Notamacropus eugenii: one gene and its partners. The protein of the gene in region 1 purifies or fractionates together with the protein of each later gene. This does not show direct contact. Links are inferred from orthologs where the notes say so. Each region holds a gene or a part of one and is shown on either strand. Other genes may lie near its edges. The genes, in order: SNRPA1, SF3B4 and SF3A3.

Region 1 (7,381 bases):
GAATAAGTTCTCTCAGGCTAGGCAGGGCCTGATCAAGTCCCTCACCTATTCGGCTAAAACAGAATAAAGATTATTATAATAAAATCAATAATTGAATCAAAGAAGAAATAAAGCTTTTTACTCAAGATCTATAAAGAAACCTAAATATGAACAAGATTTATTTTTCTTATGTAACCAATTCACAAACCCATAGCAACTCAGAATTGAATGGTACCTTAGAGATCATGTGGATAGATCAACTCACTGCAGTATGTCTTTTGTTCTTGAAGAGGACCATGACATGAGGGAAGTAATGCCATGAAGTGCAAGTGAACTGGATTTAAGGGAGGGAGGGTAGTAAAAAGTCATCAGTCTTACTTTCTCCTCCACAGACCTTTGAGTTCAGTAGTCAGATATAGATCAAGAGAGCTGGAGATGGCCCAGGATGCATTGGGGGCCCTTGGCCTTTTTAAGTTAAGGTCTTCAATGGGTCTTAGTTTGACTGAGGTAAAGTTCACTCAGTGATTAAGGCTTAATAGGAACTGAGGCAGAGAATGGAGTCTTCCTCATTCTTCCCCCATCTTAAAAAAAACCATCTATCTGGGAGGGAAAGACCCTCAGGGTTTCTGATCAAAACAAAAACAACTGCTATTTACAATCACTCTGACCCAATCAAGGCCCAAACACCAAATAGGGCTTGGCCTGGGACCCACTGCTGGCCAATCAATGAGAGCAGTAGTGATTTGGGTTTAAAAAAAAGATTTCAGATATTAAGATTTATATTCCCTTGGGCCAAAGCACATAGTTAGCAGTTAAGGGTTTGACTGAAGTCATTCTCTTCCAGAGAGATGGACAAACAGCAACCAAGGTGAGTATAAAAAGAGCTATCCAATGGTGGAACTGGCCAGTTGGCAGCACAACTCTTTTCTTTTCCTTCCTTCTTTTCTTCTTTCCCTTTCCTCTATCCACATATGGTATCACATCCCAGATCAACTCATATCCTGAACAGAAACTGAGTAGTGGTCATCCAATCTCTGACTGGAGGCCTTCAGTGATAGGGAACCCACAATTCCCAGAGACAGCCCTTTCTACTTTAGGAGAAAAAACTGACAGCTGTTTCTACTCAAATTCTACAAGCTATAGACCTCACTCAGAGATGAAGTCCTACACATTAAACATTAACCAACCTAACTCACAGGAATAGGACCCACCCATTGTTAAGGGTAATGTAAACTTTTTTTTTAAAAGGCAGAACACAATTTTTTCTTTTAACTTAACTCCATAACCTTTGCACACATATCAAATTTCACACAAATAAGACCAATTAATATTTTCTGTTGGCTACGATGTTGTTTCAAGACAGCAGACTGAACCATGAATCCAAGATAAAATCTGGTAGGAGAGGCAGACACAAAGTGTCAATCAGGTGAGGCAGAAAAAGTTAGTAAATTATACTTGCACAGACCTTTTACTTACTCTCATTTCATAATTAAAAACTGCATATATGCAGAAAAATACCAAGCAATAAACATCAAAAGAGGGCAATAAAAATTATTAAACTAAACTTTTGTCAGTAGCTAATTTCCTTATGTGGATGATCCTTTGCAACGTGAATTTTAGATACATGAAACAGAAACTAGGATTAAAGACTGCCATGAATTATTTGAATTTCTGTGAAAGAATAAAACTTTTCAGCTTTAAAAAATTTCAGCATACCTGCAGCTGCTTACCATGCTTTAAGCTAACAGCTAACTCAGGGGAAAAACTAACACTTACCATATTCTATTATTATTCACCAATAATGTTTTCAGTCTTTTCAACAAGGGAAAACCATCCAACTTTCTGATTTCATTATCAGAAAAATCAATAGCATCAAACTGATCCAAGGTAGCCCCCAAGTTTTCAATTACAGGAATCTTGTATCCTGGAAAACAGTAAAGATATTAGATTACACTGAGGTAGCCAAGGTACACCATAGCTAAAATTAACAGTGTCAGTAAATTAAATCAGGTATTGTTATCCATTTTAGAATCTACACCATGAGAGCACCAGCAATTCTTCATTCAACAAACAGTTAAGTAACCAGTACTTATTAAAGTTTTGAGGATGACACAAAGGAAAGGTATAGTTTCTACCCATATTGGAACTTAAAACCTATTTTGAGAGATGATACACATATGGAGCATTTAAATAACAACACAAGGCAATAATGTTAAATTACTGCTGGTGGAATTATGAACAGGTTCAACCATTCTAGAAAACAATTTGGAATTATGCAAAAGTTACCGAATTGTGCATACTCTTAACAAGAGATTCTGAAGTTGGGACTGGATATAAAAGATACAAGAAAGCCTCAAATGTACAAAACTATCCATAGCATAAATTGTGACAACAAAAAAATGAAGCTAATATGTGTCCCAACAACTGGGGAATGGACGAAAAATTTATAGTGTGTTAATCTGTGCTATAAGAAATTAACAAATAAGGTGATTTCAGATACAAAGATTTCAGAGAAATAAATTATTTATTACAGGTGATAGTGAAGACAGTAGACACATGCATATATGTGTGTATATAAACATATATACACATGCATACATACACAGATATGTCAATGCCCACAAACATTAAAAGGCAGCAAAATTTGGTCAAATACGATGACTAGAAGTTGCTACAAATGCCAACTAAGTTAAAACACACAATTCTCTGTCCTGTTAATCTAGTTTTAGGGAACATACTTTGCTGGGGGTGATTGTGTGTTTGCTGGGAAGTGTACGAAAAAGTATCATTAAATTAAATATAAACATATATGACAATAAACATGGTCAAAGACAAAAGAGTTTTCTTAGAAAAGGTGAAACTTGAAGTGCACCTCTATCTACATTTAATTTAATAATATAAAATTTTTTAAAATAACTGCTCATGGGTGCAATATAAAACTTATGAAGTTTAAGGAATTGGGATTTCACAGAAAAAGGATGAAAGGTCAACCTCCCCATCCTAGTGTGAAAACCATGTTCCAAAGTGATGCCTTCCTTCCATGAAATCTCTCATATTTTAACTCATGCCTTGTCACACCAAGACAGTATTTCATTTTGACCTGAAAATTCCTTCTGTTTAAAGTAATCTAGTCCAACCCTTTCATTTAACCAATAAGGAAACCGAGGTCCAGAGAGATGAAGTGATCAGCATTATACAGGTAGCAAGCTATGAAACCTGGACTCAAACCTAGCTTAAAAAAAAAATCAAAACAATTTAAAGCTCTTTTCACACACAGAATCTAATTCTTCACATCTGCCTGTCCACTTGCGTGGCCCTCAAAAGTCCATGTTACTGTGGTATTTCTCCTTAGTTCACTGTACCTGGTTCAGTAAGTTTCAGTTGGAGGTTAGCTTAATTCAAGTAAGATACAGTACAGTTCCCAACTAAGACAGAATGTGATCTCTACGTGCAAATTAGCTCATAAACATCAGAACTAAAGTGAAGCCTGCCTTTTCAATTTTTCAATTAAGCAGATAAGACTACGAAGGGTAATAAAAGAGAGAAAGGTCAGAATGAACAGCTTCTGAACATCACGGACTACATACACCGTGAGCGTCACTACACCGGAGTACGTGTGAAAGCAGGGAGTGGTCCAAAAAATGGAACCGTTGGAGGGGTCCGTGGTGGCGGGGAATGTCACAAAATGAAGTGAGACTCACTGGGCGGTAAACAAAGGAGCGAGGGTGCTACAGAATAGCGGATAATATGAGACAATAAGGGAGCGGTCGCTACAGAGTAACAAGTGACAGACCGGGCCTGTCACGCTCTCTAAAGAGTTACCCTCTTCCGCGCGCACCAAGAAACTCCAATTTCCTCCACTCTGTTCGCGGGGGTCTCGGGAGCCCGGTGGGCAGGCCCTCGAGCACGCCCTCTCCCTTCCCCGGGCGGGCCTCAGTTTCCTCCTCTGTGTTCGGAGCGGAGGTTGAACCGCACAGCGCGGCGAGCTGCTGTTCTACAGCTTCGGAAAAGGCCGCCCGCGGGCCCGCTAAGCGCGCGCAGGCCACCCAGCGCTCCATGACCCCGGCCCGAGGCCCAGCGCGGGGGCCGCGGTCCTCTCCGTCGCTCCTCCCAGCGCCCTGATCTTACCTCTCAGGTCCAGCTCACGGTCCCGCACGGCGTTGGTGTACTGGGCCGCCTGCTCGATGAGCTCCGCCGTGAGCTTCACCATCTTGTCGCCACAAGGCACCGCAGACTCCGCTCCTTCCGGCCCCCAAAGAATACCCAGCAGCCTCCGCGCACCGCCCCCGCGGTCGGACAGAACCAATCACGGGCCTCGGGAGGCCGCAGCGTGTTCAGGCCAAAGCCATCAATTCGCGAATCACGGAGATCGGAACTACTGCCTGTCTTCCGCCAGAACTTCGACCAAAGTCCCAATCGAGCTCCCGGCACTCACTGTTTTAAAGTCCCTTGCGTTGCTCTCGTGGAGCCACCTTTTATGTCTCTTACAGGCTCGTTTAGGGTCCTTTGCAAAAATAGGGCTAAATGTGTGCTTTGTAGGGTGAAGGAACGCAGGACAGCGTGTTTCCGACGCATCCATTCAGTAGCTAGCTAGTAGCTAGCATTTATAGAGAGCTTTAAGTTTTGCAAAGCGCTTTTTTTTTTCTGCTTGTGTTACCTCATTTGATGCTTCTGGTTATGGAAAAGCATTTGGGCAAGAAAAGATTCTGCTACTTCCATTAATTTATTTATAGCAAGAAAAGACTCACATGTACAAAAAGATCTTCATAGAAACTTTTTTTAAATAATGCGCCAGCGACTGGGAATGACAGAATGAATTGATATATAAATATGATGGGATAAATTACATCATAAGGAATGATGAATATGAAAACTCCATGGGAAGATTTGTAGAAAGTAGTGAAGCAGAATTAAGAAAGCCGAATTAAAAGAACAGTATAGAGCAACAAGGTAAATACAGATAACATCAAGAGGTAGCAAAACTGGTGGTCAAATATAAGCAACAGAACAATGTATCGTACTAAGTTAGAACACACATTCTTTTTGAATATTGAAACCAGCCTTTGATGGTTGTGGGGACGGGGATGGGGGTGGAGGGTGGGGGGGTGGTATACCCTTTGAAGAGACATTTATTTGAGGGTTGTGAAAAGTGTTGTATAGAGAAACAATGTATCAAAAAGGAAATAAAGTAGCAAGTTATAAATCTATGAAAGCAATCTCTAGAAATGTAACTATGCAGACTTCCCTCCTAGTGAATATGCTAGGAATATTATTTCTATTCCTTTTTTAATGGATAATACCTAATAACCCATACTTAGACCATAATAATTAGAATTGTAGCCCCTGGGTTGAGAAATGTCTGTTGAGTTTCTAGGCAGGGTTGGGCCTAGTAGCCACTTTCTGTTGTGCCCCTTCGCCTAGCAGCCCCTCTCTTTGTACCCCTTTGCCTGGCAGCTGCCTGGGCCCCCATCTCTGTTGTACCCCTTTGCCTGGCAGCTGCTTGAGCCCCCCTCTCTGTTGTGCCACCTTGCCTAGCAGCACCTAGGAACCCCTGTCAAAACTGTTCTGTGAAAAATGTTTGCTACTGGAACTGCAAGACTGTACTGGGAAGTGCTAAGATGCTTAAAAGGCACACACACCTTTGTTCGGGGCTGCCTCTTCTGAGGACAGCCGCCGGCTAATAAAGACGCTCCCAAATTCTCAATTGACTCTTGCCTGTGCTTGTCTCGGTCTGTCCATTTCAGTATCAGAAAAAAAAGAGCACTATAGTTGAATTATTCCTGTTCTAAAATCTATGGTTTTGTGCTATATGATATAGTAAATATTGAGCCTCTTCAATAGCTCTGAAACCTTTGAAAAAATACATGAAATGACTCATTGTAGCATAGAGGTTTTGACAGATTCCTCCAAAATTGAAAAGCCCACAGTCCAAAGATCAACTTGCTAGCTGAGAGATATTTCTTACCAAAATTGTGGCCTTTAGGTGATGGATTTGAAGGGTGCCACAACATTTCATTTATATCATCTGCTAAATCATAGAGTATGTTAAGGGGGAAAAATGTCTTCATTGCTTATAGTTATATCAATTAGAATCAAAGATTTGTTAAATAATGCAGTTGCAAGGAGAGTGTTCTATATTGACATGGTGACTCAAGTATCAGGCATAATCTGGAGGCTTTCATATATCTTCTTTTTTAAAAAAAATTTACATGCATTTCTAATTTATCCCTCTCAATATTCTACCCCTCACTGAACAACAACTAAAAAAAGCCCCACAACTTGAACAGGCATAGTCCAGCAAAACAGATTTCCACATTGGTCATCTCTGCATTATTAACCTCTGTGGAGGAAGTATTTCATCTTCAGTCCTCTGGAATCATGGTTTATTGTTCCACTGTCAGAAATTTAAATTCTTTCAAAGTTGTTTTTCTCTGCAAGGTTGTTGTAATTGCACAAGCTGTTAAAGATCTGCTCACTTTGACATAAATTCATAGAATTCTACCCAGAAGTCTATTTTGATTTTTTCTTATGACACAATAATATTCCATTATTCACATATACCATAATATTTTTTAGCCATTCCCCAATAAGTATATACCCCTTTAGCTATCAAATTTCAGCTACTATGAAAAGTATTGCAATAAATATTTTTGTACATATATGTCCTTCTTTCTTTGATTTCTTTCAGAGGATAGGCCTGATAGCGATATAGTTGGGTTAAGGGATATGCACTGTTTAGTAACTTTTGGATCCTAACCCATATATTGTTTTCCAAAATAGCTGGATCAATTCACAGCTCCAACAATGAAGCGATGTGCCTATTTTCCCATAGCTCATCCAATATCTGTCATTTTTCCTCTTTGGTCATTCTTTTTCAGTCCAATGGATATGAAACAGAACCCCAGAGCTACTTTAATTTGCATTTCTTTATTTATTAATGATTCAGGGTACTTTTTCCACGAGGTTATTCAGAGCTTGGATTTCTTCCTTTGAAAATTGCCTGTTCATATTCTTTGGCATATTTTTATTAAGGAATGTCTTTTAATATATTTTCAAGAACAATTTAAGCATGTACCTTAGCGTTAACCGTCAGAGTTACAAATGAGGACAGAATGTTCATCTCAAGGAGGTAGAAAAGCAACTCAAACATCCAAGCTGCTCATAGCATATAATCTCAAGAACTCATGAGATCTTAACACTTACAAAATCTCCAAAGATAGTTTTAGTTTTCTTGTTACATTCTTAGAACAGCATTTGGTTCATTTCAACCACTATTTTTACCTCTTGCTAGCACATAGCAATCAAGCTTAATCTATGGTTTCAGCTTTGGTTTCTTACCATTAGGTTATGTTATAGCTCCAAGACCTTAATTTCTAATTTAATTATAGTTTAATTACAGTTT
Region 2 (7,381 bases), on another chromosome or scaffold:
TCAGTGGGTTTTCTTTCTAGTTAAATTACAACCTCGTTTGGTATGGAGACTATCGTTGTAGGCCAATTTCACATAACCCTCACATGCTGCGTTCCAGACTGGCATACTATGGGCTGTTTGTCGTACGTGATATTCCCTTTCCCCTTCTGGGCAAAGGTGCCTTCCATGTGTGGAATGCTTTCTTTTCTCATTCCTGCTTCTTGGACTTCCTTCTAGGTTCAGCACATGCTGCTTCACACAAAACAACTTTCCCAACTGCCCCAATGGTTGCTAGTATCCACCATCCTCTTAAGTTATATTGTATATATTTTGTAGGTACTCATCACTGCACATTATTTCCCTCCAAAAATGCTATATATCATTATATAAATATTGTATTATATAATCATTTCTCCCCAGAAAAAATAATAATAATGTAAGCTCCTTGAAGCAAGGAACTGTTTCATTTCTGTCTTTGTATCCCCATCACAAGCACAGTTTGAGACTGTTAGGTGAATTAAAGTGAAAGAATAAATAAGATAATATTGAAGAGAATCAACCAAGTCAAGTAGTAAATACACACTTGCCAGCTTTACTATCTCCTTCACCCTCCTTCCTCCATCATACACCTCCTTCCTTCCAGGGGCGATACTTCAACAAGAATAATATCGTACAGGATAAACAAGGGATCCAGCTTTATTCACTGTCAATATTTGGGGAAGTAAAACCCAACATAGAAAAAAGTCCAGTGGGGGGGAAAAAATCACACTGGAAAAAGGGACAAATTTGAGGAAGAAAAGCGTGCCTCAGGCCCAGGGGGCAACTGTTCCTCTGACTGGTCCAAAAGACAGGGAGAGTCTCAGAGGAATGCAACAGATTGTAGAGAAATTTGGCACTACTGAGGAAGAGGGCCCCGGAGTGGACCCCGAGGGGGTACTGGCGGACGGGGGGAGGGCCGCGGTGGAGGAAGAGGTCCTCTTTGGTAGCCATAGGGTGGAGGTCGAGGGGGACCGCTGTATCCGTGGGGGGGCATTAACGGAGGAGGTCCTCGCATACCATGGGGAGGCATGGGGCCTGGGTGACCTGAGTGAGAAAAAGAGAGAGATCAGAGATAACAACAAACAGAGAATACATCATTATGAGGTAAATTCTGGGGAAAAAAGATGAAGGGAGGGCAGTAAGTGAAGAGTAAAGGAATTAAGAAAGGAGAAAGTATGAGATGGGTACAAGTCTACTCACCCATGGGAGACCCAAAAGGGGGTCCTCGGGGTGGCATTCCCATGGGAGGGGGGCCGGGATGAGGCATTCCTGGTGGTGGTCGTGGAGGAGGCTGCCCCCCTGAGCCTGGGGGCCCAGCATGGGGGTGTCCCAAGCCATGGGGACCATGGTGGGCAAGCTGCATCTGAGACATACCTACACAAAAGAAAGAAGACATAAGAATTAAATGAAGGGGGAAGCTAAGGTTATAGAAATGAGCAGAGGAAAGCAAGCCAGGAGTCCAAAACAAAAAGAAATTCCCCAACTGATAAATGGTCAAAGGACATGAACAGGCAGTTTTCAGAGGAAGAAATTAAAGCTATCTATAGTCATATGAAAAAATACTCTAAATCACTGTCAATTAGAGAGACGCAAATCAAAACAACTCTGAGGTACCACACCACACCTATTAGATTGGCTAACATGACAAAACAGGAAGATGACAAATGCTAGAGAAGATGTAGGAGAGTTGGAACACTATTTCATTGTTGGTGAAGCTATGAGCTGATCCAACCCTTCTGGAGAGCAATTTGGAATTATGCCCAAAGGCTTACAAAAATATGCACACCCTTTGACCCAGCAATACTGCTTCTAGACCATAAAAACAGGAAAAGTTCCCACACGTACAAAAGTATTTTTAGCAGCTCTCTTTGTGGTGGCCAAAAACTGGAAATCAAGGGGATGCCCATCAATTGGGGAATGGCTGAATAAATTGCGGTTTATGAATGTAATGGAATACTATTGTGCTATAAGAAACGATGAACAGGAAAACTTCAGAGAGACCTAGAAGGACTTATATGAACTGATGCTGAGTGAAAGGAGCAGAACCAGGAGAACTTTGTACAGAGCAACCATCACAGTGTTCGAGGAATTTTTCTGGTAGACTTAATCCTTCATAGCAATGCAAGGACCTAAAAAATTCCCAATGGACTTTTGAGGCACAACACCTTCCACATCCAGAGAAAGAACTATGGAATTGGATTGCAGAATGAAGCAGACAATTTTCTCGTGTTCTGTTTTTTCTCATGATTTCTCCCATTCATTTTAGTTTTTCCATGCAACATGGCTAAGGTGAAAATGTATTTAGGAAGAATGTATATGTAGAACCCATCTAAGACTGAATGCTATCTCAGGGAGGGAGGGGGAGGGAGGGGAAGAAAGGGGGAAAAAAATCTAAGATTTATAAAAGTGATTGAAGAAAACTGAAAAAAAAAAATTAATTAAAAAAACCAGTTCTCCTTTAGGCCTTCAGAGCTACCCTCAAGTGAATACAGGTCATCACTGTGAATGACTACAAGTGAAACAGATGGTCTTGGGGAAAACATCAGGCTGATTTAAAAGAAATTACCTTTACTTCTACAACTTCAAATAAAGTAAGATCAAAAAACCCCCAAAAAACAAAGAAGTAAAGGGATGAGAAAACAGGAGAATCAAGTTGGCAGGAAACAGGCCATAGCCATGCTATTTTTCTCAAAGAAAAATATACTACTTGATTAGTTAAAATAGAAAAACCTCCTACTCTCACAAGTTCTCTCTATGGGATCACATATCATCCCAGGAACAGAATTAGGAATTGGAGGGAGGTTGAAAGGATAGGAGGGACAAGGGAGGAGCCAAGTGCATAAGATATAGAAAAAAGAGAAAGAGAAGAAGAGTCAAGATGTAATCAGCCCCTTCCCCCTCATTTGTCCCTCTCATTCCCAGCACAGAACACCTACCAGGATGAGGCATCCCACCTGGTGGGAATGGATGTGGATGTGAGTGTCCATGTCCAGGATGTCCTGCTCCAGGGGTTCCTGTTGATGGAGGGCCATGGGCTCCAGCCCCAGGAGGCATAGGTGGTGGAGGCATGGCTGGGGGTATTCCTGGAGGAAGAGCTCCAGGAGGTGGCACTGGAGGTGGGAATGAGCCTGGTGGGGGCATACCTAAAAAGAAATATAGAAAGAAGAGTCTGTATCAATAAACCAGGACAGAAACTTTGTCCCACCATGTCCCCCTATTCACATGCCACTTAAGAAAATGACCTTCCCTCTCCACAAATTACTCATACAATAAGAGGCAATTTAAACAAAGATCTACAGCCTGGGCATTATTATCTCCAAGCCTCCCATCTCCAAACCCTTACTTCACTTCTTCACCATACTCCGACTATCCCTTCCGTCTCCTTGTCCCGCCAGCCTTGGTCTACCCCTCACTTTCACACGCCCAATCCATGTTTTACCTGGCGGAGGAAGCCCAGATCCCAAGGAAGACACAACAGGATTGGGGGCGGACGGTGGAGGTGGTGCATCCGCAAACAGCTGGTGGGGCCGATCCGCCTGGGACAGGGGGTTCTGGGCTGCCAGAAGCCGCTCGGCCGCGGAGCCGTGCCGTTCCCCCTTAGAGTCCTTCTTGAAGGCGTAAGACACTGTGATGGGCCGATTACACAGATACTGCCCGTTCATGGCCTCAATCGCTGCATCGGAGGCATCGAACGAAGCAAAATTAATAAAGGCGTAGCCCTTGGAGTTGCCTGTGTCAGGGTCCCGCATAATCTTGGGGGTCTGCAAAATAACCCCGAAGGCGCTGAAGGTGTCATAGAGCAGCTTCTCATCGATCTCGGGGTCTAGGTTCCCTATAAAAATGTTGGCCCCCACATCGAGGTTCTTGTTGTGAGCTGACGCTTTGTTCACTCGTATGGGCTTCCCGTACAGCTTGATCATGTTCATGATCTTAATGGCGTAGTCCGCATCCTCCTCGCTCAGGAACTCCACAAAGCCATAGCCTGGAGAAGGCCAAGGGCGGAAGGTTAGACTGGGCGCGCACCGTCCGCTAAGAGCCCCGAGGGGACACCATTTGTCCCACTCCCGCAAAAAAAAGAAAGCCCAGGGGCACGTACGGGGAAGAGAAGAAAAGAGCGTGCTTGTCATCGCAGCGGAGGAATCCAAGCCAAGGAAGCTAGAAGCCGCACAAAGTTTGGAGAGACGAGAGTAAAAGCCTCGCTGACACTGGCCGCCCGGGGGCGCGTGGCCTCGCACGCCCCTTCCCTCCCCCATATCCTCCCCCTCCTCACCTTGGTGCTGCCCCGTGACTCTGTCCTTGGGCATGTGCGTGTTGACCACGGGCCCCGCCTGCAGAAAGAGCTCCCAGAGCAGCGGCTCGCTGACCTTCTCGTCCAGGCCCCCCACGTACACCGTAGCATCTGCGGGGCGAAGGGATGCGGACGTGAGAAGGGGGCGGGCCACCGCCGGTGGGCAGCGGTGTCCGACCAGGGCCGGGCCTCACGCTGCCTTCCTCAGGCGGCTTCTCCACGGCCCGGGGGGCAGGTGCACGGGAAACCCGCGGAGCCCTCCCTTCCCGCCTCTCCCCTCTCCCCCCGACCCGCTCGGCCATGGGGTCGCGGAGGCCTCCGGGCCTCTGCGACGCGGCGAACCCGCTTCCCCAGCCCCCGGCCCGGGCCCCCTCAACGAGCCGGGCTCGGGCCCGTGCGGACGCGGTTCCGGGCTTCCCGCCTCCTCCCCCACTCACCCTGATTCCGTTCGGAGATGGGCCCGGCCGCCATACTGAATCTGCTCCCGCCGTCTCCAGGCAGCGGCCCCGCAACGGGAACTTTTCCGCTTCCGGGGCAGCGGTAGGGGCGGGGCTGCCGGAGGAGGGCAGCGTGAGACGCGGCGGCGGCCATCTCGGAAGCGCCGGGCGTGGGCTGCCATGTTGGCTGAGCTGGCACGGGCCGCCTGAGGCAGGGCTCGGAGTCCTACCATCAGGGGCTTCCTCCACGTGACTTCGGGGAGGGTCTAAGTAGCGGCTCTCCTCCCCCACTCCCAGCCCCGACCATGAACCACAGAAGCCTGAATGGAATAAACCTTTATTTTTCAAGATAACTAATCACAAGATCTTGACATTCTGACCGCCACAGTTTATCTCAGTCTCCCTCACCTCACCCCCAAAGAGCGGTACGAGGACCACCCCCAAATCGAGGTCAATCATGATCAGGACCTAGAAAAGCGGCTCCTGGCTCACAGACACCGAAACGCCCCCTTTCCTCCTAACCAGGCGGCGCCGAAAAGTTGCCATAGCAATGGGGGGCGTTTCCGCCCCCAACCCAGAGTTTGTGCGAATGGGGGAAGTGGGGCTGAGAAAGGGAGCGATGTGGAGCTGGAAAGAGCTTAGGAGTCCGTCCGGTCCAACCTCCCCTCAAGTCCACAACTGGGTAAACTGAGGCCCAGGGAGGTTTAGTAACCTAGGAAGGGCTCTGACGTTGGCAGCTTTGCTAAAAAAAAACAAACCACCCCCCCAAAAGTCACGTGACGGCGCTGCTGATGCTGCTGCCGCTGCTCCTGCTGCCGCTCCTGCTGCTGCCGCTGCCGCCGCCGCCGCCGCCGCCGCCGCCGCTGCTCCTGCTGCACGATCCTTCCTCCGGCCAATGTCACGCCCCGCCTCCAGCCCACAAGTCCACACCAAAATGAAAGCCCACCTCATCACAATGCATCGCTGCCAAACACACCAACGACTACTATTAGCAGGCCTCTCCCCCTGCCCAACGGGCATCCTCCAGCCCGAACCCCTCAGGATCTCCCTGGCACCCTAACACAAAGGGGGCCTAAGGGGCATTGATTGCACTAGTTCCTGACATCCAACGCCTGGCCTCTTCTTGGCACAGATGCTGAGCTTCCTGACCCTGTCTGTGGTCCAGCTCATCAATGTCCCACAAGGGTCCCTGGATGCAGCGGTGGGTCTGCTCTACAGCCATGGGTCTAGAGTTAGGAAGACCTGAGCTCAAATCCAGCCTCAGATGTTACTAGCTATGGCAAGTTTTGGGCAAGTCACAACCTCTGTGTCTCAGTTTCCTCCACTGTAAAATGGGAATTATAACAACACTTACTTCACGGGGTGGTTGTGAAGGTCAGAGTGAGCTAATTAATATTTGTAAAGCTCTTAGCACCGTGGTAAGTGCTGTATGCTTCTTTCCTTCCCTGCACTAGGCATCCTCCCTGGATGGTGGACTGTAGTTTTATAATGTATGGGCTTTGCTATATCCCGTACACACTGAGCATATTCATATATTCATACCTGTATAGGACCCAGTCAGTCAACTAGCATTTAGTGAAGCACCTACTATGTGCCAGGCACCATACTAAAGGCTGAGGATACAAAGAACGGCAAAAAATCCATTCCTGTTCTCAAGGCCGTCATGATCAATTGAGGAAACAAAATGCAGACAACTATGTACAAACAAGATATGTACAGGATAAAATGGGGGTGGTCTCAAAAGGAAGACACTAAGATTAATAACTGAGAAAAATGTCTTGAAGAAGGAGGGACATTTAGCTCAAAACACTAAACTATTCCATTACAAATTTTATTTTATTGGATTCCTTCAAGTTCCCAAGTGTGTACCATGCTCAAACTATATCTGTAACAAAGGATTTAAGGAGTAAACTCCTTCTTGTTAGCCAGTCCAGAACCATCCCTATTCTACGTGTTATCCTCATTTAAAGGTTTGGTCCCATACTACTTCCCACCAACTTCTAAATCTTGCTGGAGGTCTAAGGCTCGAACCTCCAAGAATTCAGATCTTAGCTTATTTCACAGAGTTTGATCTTTGACTTTAGCCTGACCTCCAATACAATTGAAACTCTTCTATATTACTCCCTGAAAAAAGTCACTGAGAAGTCTTCTTAATCTAGGCCATACAAGGGTTAACCTGTATATAATTGGGCCCCACCATAATTCTCACTTGGTCCCTTCTCCTCATTGCCTTGTTTTCCCTGAAACTAATATTGGCATTGGGTAATAAATGATCAGTCAGTTGGATGATGATGCTTGTGCCCACATATCATTCCCACAGTACAAGATTTTCTGTCCCCATTTTCCCGACTTTATCCTAGCACCTATTCCCACATTATTCTTCTCAGAAGCAAAACCTATAGCTTGTATAAATATTTTTCATTGATGGTTTCTGTCACTACCAAAACATCTACATATGGAGGTGGTAGAGAGTCTCCCAATCCTACTCAGAAGCCATAGAGAGCTGAGACTGGAGCATGAAAGACCTGGATTTCAAATCCATCCTCAAACACTTACTAGTTGTGTTGACTCTAGGCAAGTCACTTAAAGTCTGTTTCCTTAAATGAAAAATTGGGATAAAAATAGCATATACTGTGCA
Region 3 (7,381 bases), on another chromosome or scaffold:
AACTGTCCCACATCCGTGCTTTCGCCCATAATTAGAAATGTGAGCCCCCTGACAGCTCTTCTTTGCTTCTACTTGCTTGCTTTTCTTTTTATATCCCCAGCACTTAGCACATGTTTGGCACAAAGCAAGTGCTTAATAACTGTGAGGCCAAGCAATGTCAGGCTGTTTTTGTTTTAGTATAATCAGGAAATATAATGCCTCTGTTTGAATGTGATTAAATAAGATCTTCCCCACCCATGGATGGGCCTGCCCATTAGGGGAAGCTTGATTAGAGGAGTTGTTTTGTAGAAGGTTCCCAAGTACCCTTTGTTTTTTCTATTAAGGCACTGGATCAAAGTAATCCTCTGGCTCTGAAAAGTGCATAAATACTCTTGAGGGTGAGGTTTTTCTTTGGGATTTAGTTTTTGGAAGGTTTGTGTGCCAAATGAGAATCTGGGAAGCCCGCTAAGGAGCCCCCTGGCTTTGAAAATCCATATGTTGAAGCTTCCCTCTCTGGTAAGTAAGTATATATGTTAATGGTCAGGCAGTTTGGAAGCGTTGTTTGTTGATTTTTGATTTCTCTGAAATTCTGATTTTCTCTGACACCTGTCAGGCTTGATTAAAGTGAATGTTAACCCCTCAAAGGTTGCCCTTCCTTTTAGAGAAGCATATCAAAGAACCTCTGATAACAGGCTCCCTTCTGTATGTTGGGATGCTTACTGTTATAATAACTTTTCTGTTCATCTGTTCATGATCAGAAGGCAAGTGGCAATCCAGAATGGTAAGTATAGCCTTACACTGGCAGATGTGCTTCCTTAGCTGCTGCATCCACATTCACCCTCAATGCAGGCATCTCTACTCAGCTTTTCACCTTCAGCATCTCCTTGGCACCAACTTTGCCCCAGTCCATATCACCTTATACCTAGATGTAAAATCTGCCTTATTGGGCCCTGCAGCCAATTCGACCTGTATACCACTGGCAGACTACCCTTTTTACTTTGTTTCTTTTACATAATAACCTTCCTCAAAAGTCTTTGATGGTTCTTCCACTTCCCTGATCCTGAAATTCAAGGATCTACAGTCTGACCTCAAATTCCTTTTCCTCCTCTCCTACTAAAATCCAACATGACCTTCCACTCAAGGCTGATTTAATTCCTGTTCCTCATGCTTTTCTTGTTTAGTCTCACTTCTGCACCTTTCTTCACAATGCTTCCTTACCCTGGAATTCCCTTCCCACACCATTCTATCTAACCATCTTTCACGGACAAGTTCAAGTCCTTATTCTTGACAGAAGCTTTCCGTTTCCTCAACCCCCAGCACTTTATTGCCTCTAAATTCCTACTGGCTGTATCCTCAGACTCATGCGAGGTCAGAGCTGGAAGGATCTTAGTGGTCATCCAATACAACCATCCCAAAACTGAGGCCCAGAAACATGAAGTAGTGACTTGCTCAAAGTCACAGAGCTCGTTAGTTCCAGAACTGAATTAAAGCCTGTTCTCCTGGGTACAGGGGAAAGAGTCCTGAGCTGAAGCCCAGTATACCATGGCTGTCTCCTGTCTGGTATTTAAATATGTCACTCTGCAGGGATAGTTAGCTCTTTCAGGGCAAAGACCAAGCCACAAATACTGTGAACAACTACACATCATAACAGTAATAATCATAATGAACATTCACATAATCCTTTAGAGCTTGCAAAGTGCTCACCAAACATTGTAACAACCCTGGGAAGTAGGTACTACTATTATCCCTATTTTACAGATGGGGAAACTGAGGCTCAGAGAAGATAAATTACTCACCCATAGTCACATAGCTAGTAAGTATCCAAGGCAGGATTTGAGCCCAAGTCTTCCTCACTTTAAGTCCCGCAGTCTACTGTGCCACTACACCAAAACACCTATCTGTCATACTATACTAACAACAATAAAAATATATATATTCTCTACATTCATACATGATTTTACAGGAAAAGGTGTTAATACAGCAAACAAGGAAAGACAGAGACAACTGTTGCCAAAGTCTGTCTTACACTGTCTTTCAATGACAAATATACTGACACTTGCTCAACTGTTGTAGGTCATCAAAACAATTCAAAGGTGCAAATTAGGTAACTGATGAGTCAAAACAAAACCAAAGATCAATAGTGTTCCTCCTCCCTGCTACTTCTTTCTCAAGTATCCCTTGGCTCACTCTGAAAGTCTATGCTTACCTCATTTGGGTGCTTCCGGTGGAATTCTTTTATCTGTTTGAGTCTATTATAAAATTCTGCGAATTCATTTGGTCCTGAAATAGCACTGAGTTCCTCCTTTCTTAACCTGAAATTCCCAAAGGGACCAAAAGAGAAAACAAAGGACCAGGGTCAGTAATTTGATTGACACTGGCACCCCACAATCACCCATACATGGCGCAGCACTGCCACTTACCCATCCTTGTCATCATACAAATCTCTCAGATTCCCACTGACTTCCATATACCTCTAAAAGGCAAAAAAACCAAATAAAAACACTGTATCAACATAAAGCAGTTTCTGTCGCCACATAGTTGGATATCCAACAAAGACTCTTCAGTGATTATTCAAGATAAATTAAGGGACACAAGGACTTCAGCAGACAGTAAAGATGTTACTTATATTGTTATTGCTGTATTCATCCTTTGGTTATCGAAAAGACCGTGTGCACTTGACTTTGTTTTGAGTGAGGGTCACCAGCCTCACTTTTCCTCCTGAACCATCTGGATCCAGTGACCAGATATTCATCAGGATGACTGGAAACGGCCTTATTTATGACATAATTTGAGAATGAAGGTCTATTCCCCATTTAACTTCTTTCTCTACTAACCCATCATCATTCTCTAATATTACTTTTTGGTCTAGCACCTTAGTAAAATCTAACTAAGTGGAGAGTTAAGAAGAGCATAGTATGCTGGCCTCAGTCATCAAGACATTAGTGGGAACATATTTATTAGAGACTTTTTATATTCAAAGCTAGAGCAGCTTCCTCAAAGATGGGATGAAAACTGTATATAAAAGAAGGGAGTTAAAAGATAAGTCTAAAAGGAAGGCAAGCTTGGTGGTACGATAGTAGTAGTAATGGTGGTGAAAAAAGTGGTAGTATTAACAATCAATTAAAAAAAATTAGTTCTGAATTCTCTCCTTCCCTCCACCACCCAATGAAAAGGCAGCAACAAAAAAAGTACAATACCCATTATATGCATAAAATAACGCAAAATATATTTACACGTTCCTTATTTCCAGCTATAACTACAACTAATAACATAACACTTCACAATATTTCAAAGGTCGCCAAGTGGTTTACTCAATCCTGTGCAAATATGATTACAGTTGTTTCAGAAAAGAGAACACCAAAGATTAAGTTGTGAAATGCCTTGCTTGAGGTCATAAACGTTCTAATAACAATCGCTACCATTTATATTTCACTGTAAGGTTTGCAAAGCTCTTGACCAGCACCATCTCATTTTCACCTCACCACAATCTTTGGAGGTCGGTGCTAGAACTATTCCCATTTTACAGATAAGGACACTGAGGCAGACAGAGGTGAAGCGACTTGCCCAGGGGTGCACAGACAGGAAGCACGTGAACTCAGGTCTTCCCCATCCCAGGCGGAGCTGGTCTATCGGCTGTGGTAAAGGCACCACAGGAGGGGCCTAGATCGTCCAAAAGCGTGGCGAGCAAGGCAGAGGTCTTGGTCAGGCAGGGGACAGACCAGATGCTTGCCCAGGGGTACTCCTGAGAGTCCAACCTCTTCCTTCTGGCGGCTCCCTTCAGAAGCGAACCTACCTCTCTGCACAGAGAGGGTGGTTAGTGGTCACTGAGTCGGAAGGAAGCCCCAGGAGAAACGCCAATCCCCACTGGTCCGTGACCGCCTTGAGAAGCGGACTGTTTGCTGTTGTGCCCTCAGCACAGTGCCAGGCCCACAAGTTCTGCCGGACCACGGATGGCCTGGTGCCTCGCCGCACAAGCACTAATTAGGCGCCCGCTATGCCGGTCAATAAGCCGCTATTAACAGTTTATTCATTTAAATGATACGAAATTAATAAATTAATTCGGTCAGCAAACTTAATAACAACTTAATTTCAATAACTAATAAATTTAACGATTTAGTTAAAATAACTTAATAACAAACTCGGAGGACGCAGGGAAAGACACAAAAGCAGGCAGTCGCTGCCCTTCAGGGGCTCCCGGTCTCACGGGGGAGACCACCCGCAAACAGCCGCGGAGGACCCGGACTCCCCGAGCGGCCGGCCGGGCCTGCCCAGTGGGGGGCCTACGCTCCAACAGCCTTCGGCCCCTCCCCGCCCCAGCACTCACGTCCTGCATAGCCCGAGTGCGATGGTCCGAGTTGATCTGGTCCCGGAGCTGAAGGGGGAAGACACAAGAGCCTGGGTCAGCCTCCACCCGCCGGGGACGCTCGGCATTTCCCTTCCTCCAGACCCCCCCCCCCCCACCCCCGGACAGAACGGGACCCCCAGGCTGGACGCGTCCCTGGCACACGGGAGATCCTGGGAGCCGGGGGAGGGGCAGGATCCCGGATGTGGCCGCTTTTTTTTCCTCTCCCTCCCCGTCTCGTCCCGCCGCCCTCCCTCCGGCCGCTCACCGTGGACTTCTTAATAAGCATTTCTTTGGCCATGACGTCCATGAGCCGCTCCTTCTCTTCATGGTAGCGCCGCTGCTGCTCGAGGATGGTCTCCATCTTGCCCCCGCCACCTCTACCTCACTCCGGAAGTTGCGGCAGCCGCCAGTGCGCTTCTCCGCGCTCTTCCGCCCGCGCCTCACACCCAGCGACACCAAGGTTCCGCCCTCGCCGGAAGTCCTTGCTTGGGATCGGGGATGGGGGAGGAGACAGTACAGGGAGCGGCAGCGAGAGCAGCGGGGCGCTGGGGCCGAGGCGGCAGCGCCCCCTGCTGCCCTTGCGGAGACACTGGCGCCCATCAGCCGCCTGCGCGCAGGGTGTCCCGAGCTGCCAGAGTGGGTGCGCTCCCGGGGCGTCCTGGAGCCTGGGCTCTGGGGGCCAGGGCCGGCGAGGCACCAGCCCTCATTCCCAGCCTGGCCCCTTGACAGCGGGCCGCGAGCGCAGCCGGGGAGGTGTCCCGTCCCCATTTCACAGATGAACAACTGCCCTTGTTGTTACTACGTCCAGAGCCCTTATTTTAGTCTTCGCCTTCCTCACACTTGCACGATGCTTTACTCATCATCCCAGAGCGTCCTTGGAAACGTTCAGGATCCACGTTTCACAGCCTCATTTCACAGATAAGACCCCGAGACCCGGATAAAGTGGCGCAAACCAGACAGAAAGCCCCTCTTCCACGATGAAATCATCCCTACACAAGTCTCCAGGGACTCCCTGTTGCCCTCGGAATCAGATACAAAATGCAGTTTGTCATTCAAAGCCCTGCTCACTTTTCTAACCGTCTTACACCCTTACCTTGTACTCTTTGATCTGGCAACGCTGGTCTCCTGATAGTTCCACAAACAAGACCTTCTCTCTCTGCTTTCTCGGTGTTTTCCCTTGGATTTCTGGTCCCTGCACCTAGATGGCTCTGGAGGAGAAAGTGAGGCTGGTGACCTTGCACAATCCTGCCTCACTTAAATCCAATTCACTTGCAGGTCATGGTGTTGATGGGCTTCAGACTCTGGGAACCTCCCTGAGCTCCCCTTGAATCTTCCCACTTAACGTGGCCTTTCATACTCAAATCTGTTGCCCTTGGCCTAGCGTGGCCTTCCATTGTCTGTTACCTTTTGCACCTACTTTCCACCCAGACCCTGCATTGTCTGATACTTCCCATTTGCTTCCAGCTGTTTCTCACCCTGGATTTCATCCCTAGTTACCCCAATTCATCCCATCAAGATCCTCCTTAGACCCTCCTCCCAGACCTCTAGATCTTTCCCACACACATTCTGTATATAAGTTCCCTCTAGCCTCCATGAAGGCACTCAGATTCAGTCCAGCTCAGATTCTGTCTAGCTGAGATTCTATCTGGCCCACTTGGGAATACAAGCCTTACAAATGCTTAAGCTCCTTAAGAGTCAACCAATATGGCAAATCTTTAATAAACTTTGTTTTTCATTGTTTTTGAGAAGGCTTGAGTCAAATTCATTCGAGCAAAACCCGGCGTGTCAGTATTTCGGGGTCCCCAGCAGCCCTGAACCTCAACAGTATCACCTTCCTGATATCATGGTCCTCCTCGGCTTCCTTCAAGTCCCCACCAAAACCCCACCTTCCGCAGGAAGCTTTTTAATCCTAGCACCTTTTCTCCATTGATTATCTCCAGTTTATCCTGCATGTAGCTTGTTTGTACTTAATTGTTTACCTGTTGTCTGAGTTAACTCAAGAAAAAGGCCTGGTTTTTGCCTTTCTTACTATCTCTAGTGCTTAGTATATAATTTTAATGTTTAACAAATATTTGTTGGTTGACATATCTATCTACACAGGAGAAAACTACATAGGAGGCTCAGAGAACAATTTCCATAGTCCTTTAAAATTTACAAAACTCTTTTTTCACAGCCTTGTGATGTTATCACTCCCATTTTTACATTTTTACAGACTCTGAGATGAAGTGAGTTGCCACGGTTTACACAGCTCCCACTCTTTTTCTGCTCCACTGTTACTGATGGGGTTCAGACTCTGGGAGCCTCTTTGACTCCCCTTGAATCTTCCCACTTAATCTGGCCTTTCTTACTCAAATCTAATCTTCCCATTTGTTCCAGCAGTCTCAGGAAGCCCATGGGCTTTTCATTATCATTCTTCTCAGGTCTCTGTTGCACTCCCCACCCTTGATCCCATCAAAACCCCATTCCCCAGTCTACCAACCACTCCCCTCAAGATCTGTATCCATTCCCATACAGCCCCTATCAAGAGCTCTGGATTGCCCCACCTGCTTCCCACCTAGGTGCCCCCTAGTCTGCCCCCTAGTCTGTCTTGTGATAGCCTCCAGCTGTTTCCAGCCTTTGACCCTCCTTGGATTTCCTCCTGGGACTTCTCCTCAAGACCCTTCCTAAACCCCTCCTCCCATCACCCTGGACTACTTGACCACCCCCCAGATCCCTCCTATACCCTTTTTTGTGTTTAAGTTCCATCTTGCCTCCATGAAGGCGCTCAGATGCAATCCAGCTCAGACTCTGTCTAGCTGAGATTCCATCTGGCCCACTTGTGAATACAAGCGTCACAAATGCTTAGGCTCTTTAAGAGGCAACCCAATTTGGCGAATCTTTAATAAACTTTGTTTTCTTTGGCTTTAAGAAGGCTTGAGTCGAATTCATTCGAGCACGACCCAGACTGTCTGTATTTGGGGGTTCCCCATCACCCCTCAACCTCGTCATTACCAGCCCATATGTTGGCTCAACCTTCTCTCCAAGTTAGCAATAAACTGTTCTCCCACGGAAAATCAA

What was found.
Region 2: the proteins of SNRPA1 (region 1) and SF3B4 purify together in Homo sapiens (affinity purification with mass spectrometry; 3 studies listed by BioGRID and IntAct, counting the BioPlex papers as one, with this or other methods). This does not show direct contact. The link is inferred for Notamacropus eugenii from reciprocal best matches to the Homo sapiens genes SNRPA1 and SF3B4.
Region 3: the proteins of SNRPA1 (region 1) and SF3A3 purify together in Homo sapiens (affinity purification with mass spectrometry; 6 studies listed by BioGRID and IntAct, counting the BioPlex papers as one, with this or other methods). This does not show direct contact. The link is inferred for Notamacropus eugenii from reciprocal best matches to the Homo sapiens genes SNRPA1 and SF3A3.

The regions. Positions count from the first base shown.
Region 1 is NC_092872.1:153,137,998-153,145,378, reverse strand, and holds the start of SNRPA1 (U2 small nuclear ribonucleoprotein A'), read right to left. Parts: upstream 4,337-7,381; 5' UTR 4,190-4,336; coding exon 4,108-4,189; intron 1,904-4,107; coding exon 1,756-1,903; intron 54-1,755; coding exon 1-53. UniProt on the Homo sapiens protein: Involved in pre-mRNA splicing as component of the spliceosome. Associated with sn-RNP U2, where it contributes to the binding of stem loop IV of U2 snRNA.
Region 2 is NC_092873.1:303,752,404-303,759,784, forward strand, and holds SF3B4 (splicing factor 3B subunit 4), read right to left. Parts: upstream 5,236-7,381; 5' UTR 4,898-5,235; coding exon 4,744-4,897; intron 4,418-4,743; coding exon 4,289-4,417; intron 4,001-4,288; coding exon 3,458-4,000; intron 3,162-3,457; coding exon 2,955-3,161; intron 1,393-2,954; coding exon 1,219-1,392; intron 1,063-1,218; coding exon 875-1,062; 3' UTR 658-874; downstream 1-657. UniProt on the Homo sapiens protein: Component of the 17S U2 SnRNP complex of the spliceosome, a large ribonucleoprotein complex that removes introns from transcribed pre-mRNAs.
Region 3 is NC_092876.1:81,243,317-81,250,697, reverse strand, and holds the start of SF3A3 (splicing factor 3A subunit 3), read right to left. Parts: upstream 4,819-7,381; 5' UTR 4,686-4,818; coding exon 4,590-4,685; intron 4,352-4,589; coding exon 4,304-4,351; intron 2,453-4,303; coding exon 2,400-2,452; intron 2,292-2,399; coding exon 2,186-2,291; intron 1-2,185. UniProt on the Homo sapiens protein: Component of the 17S U2 SnRNP complex of the spliceosome, a large ribonucleoprotein complex that removes introns from transcribed pre-mRNAs.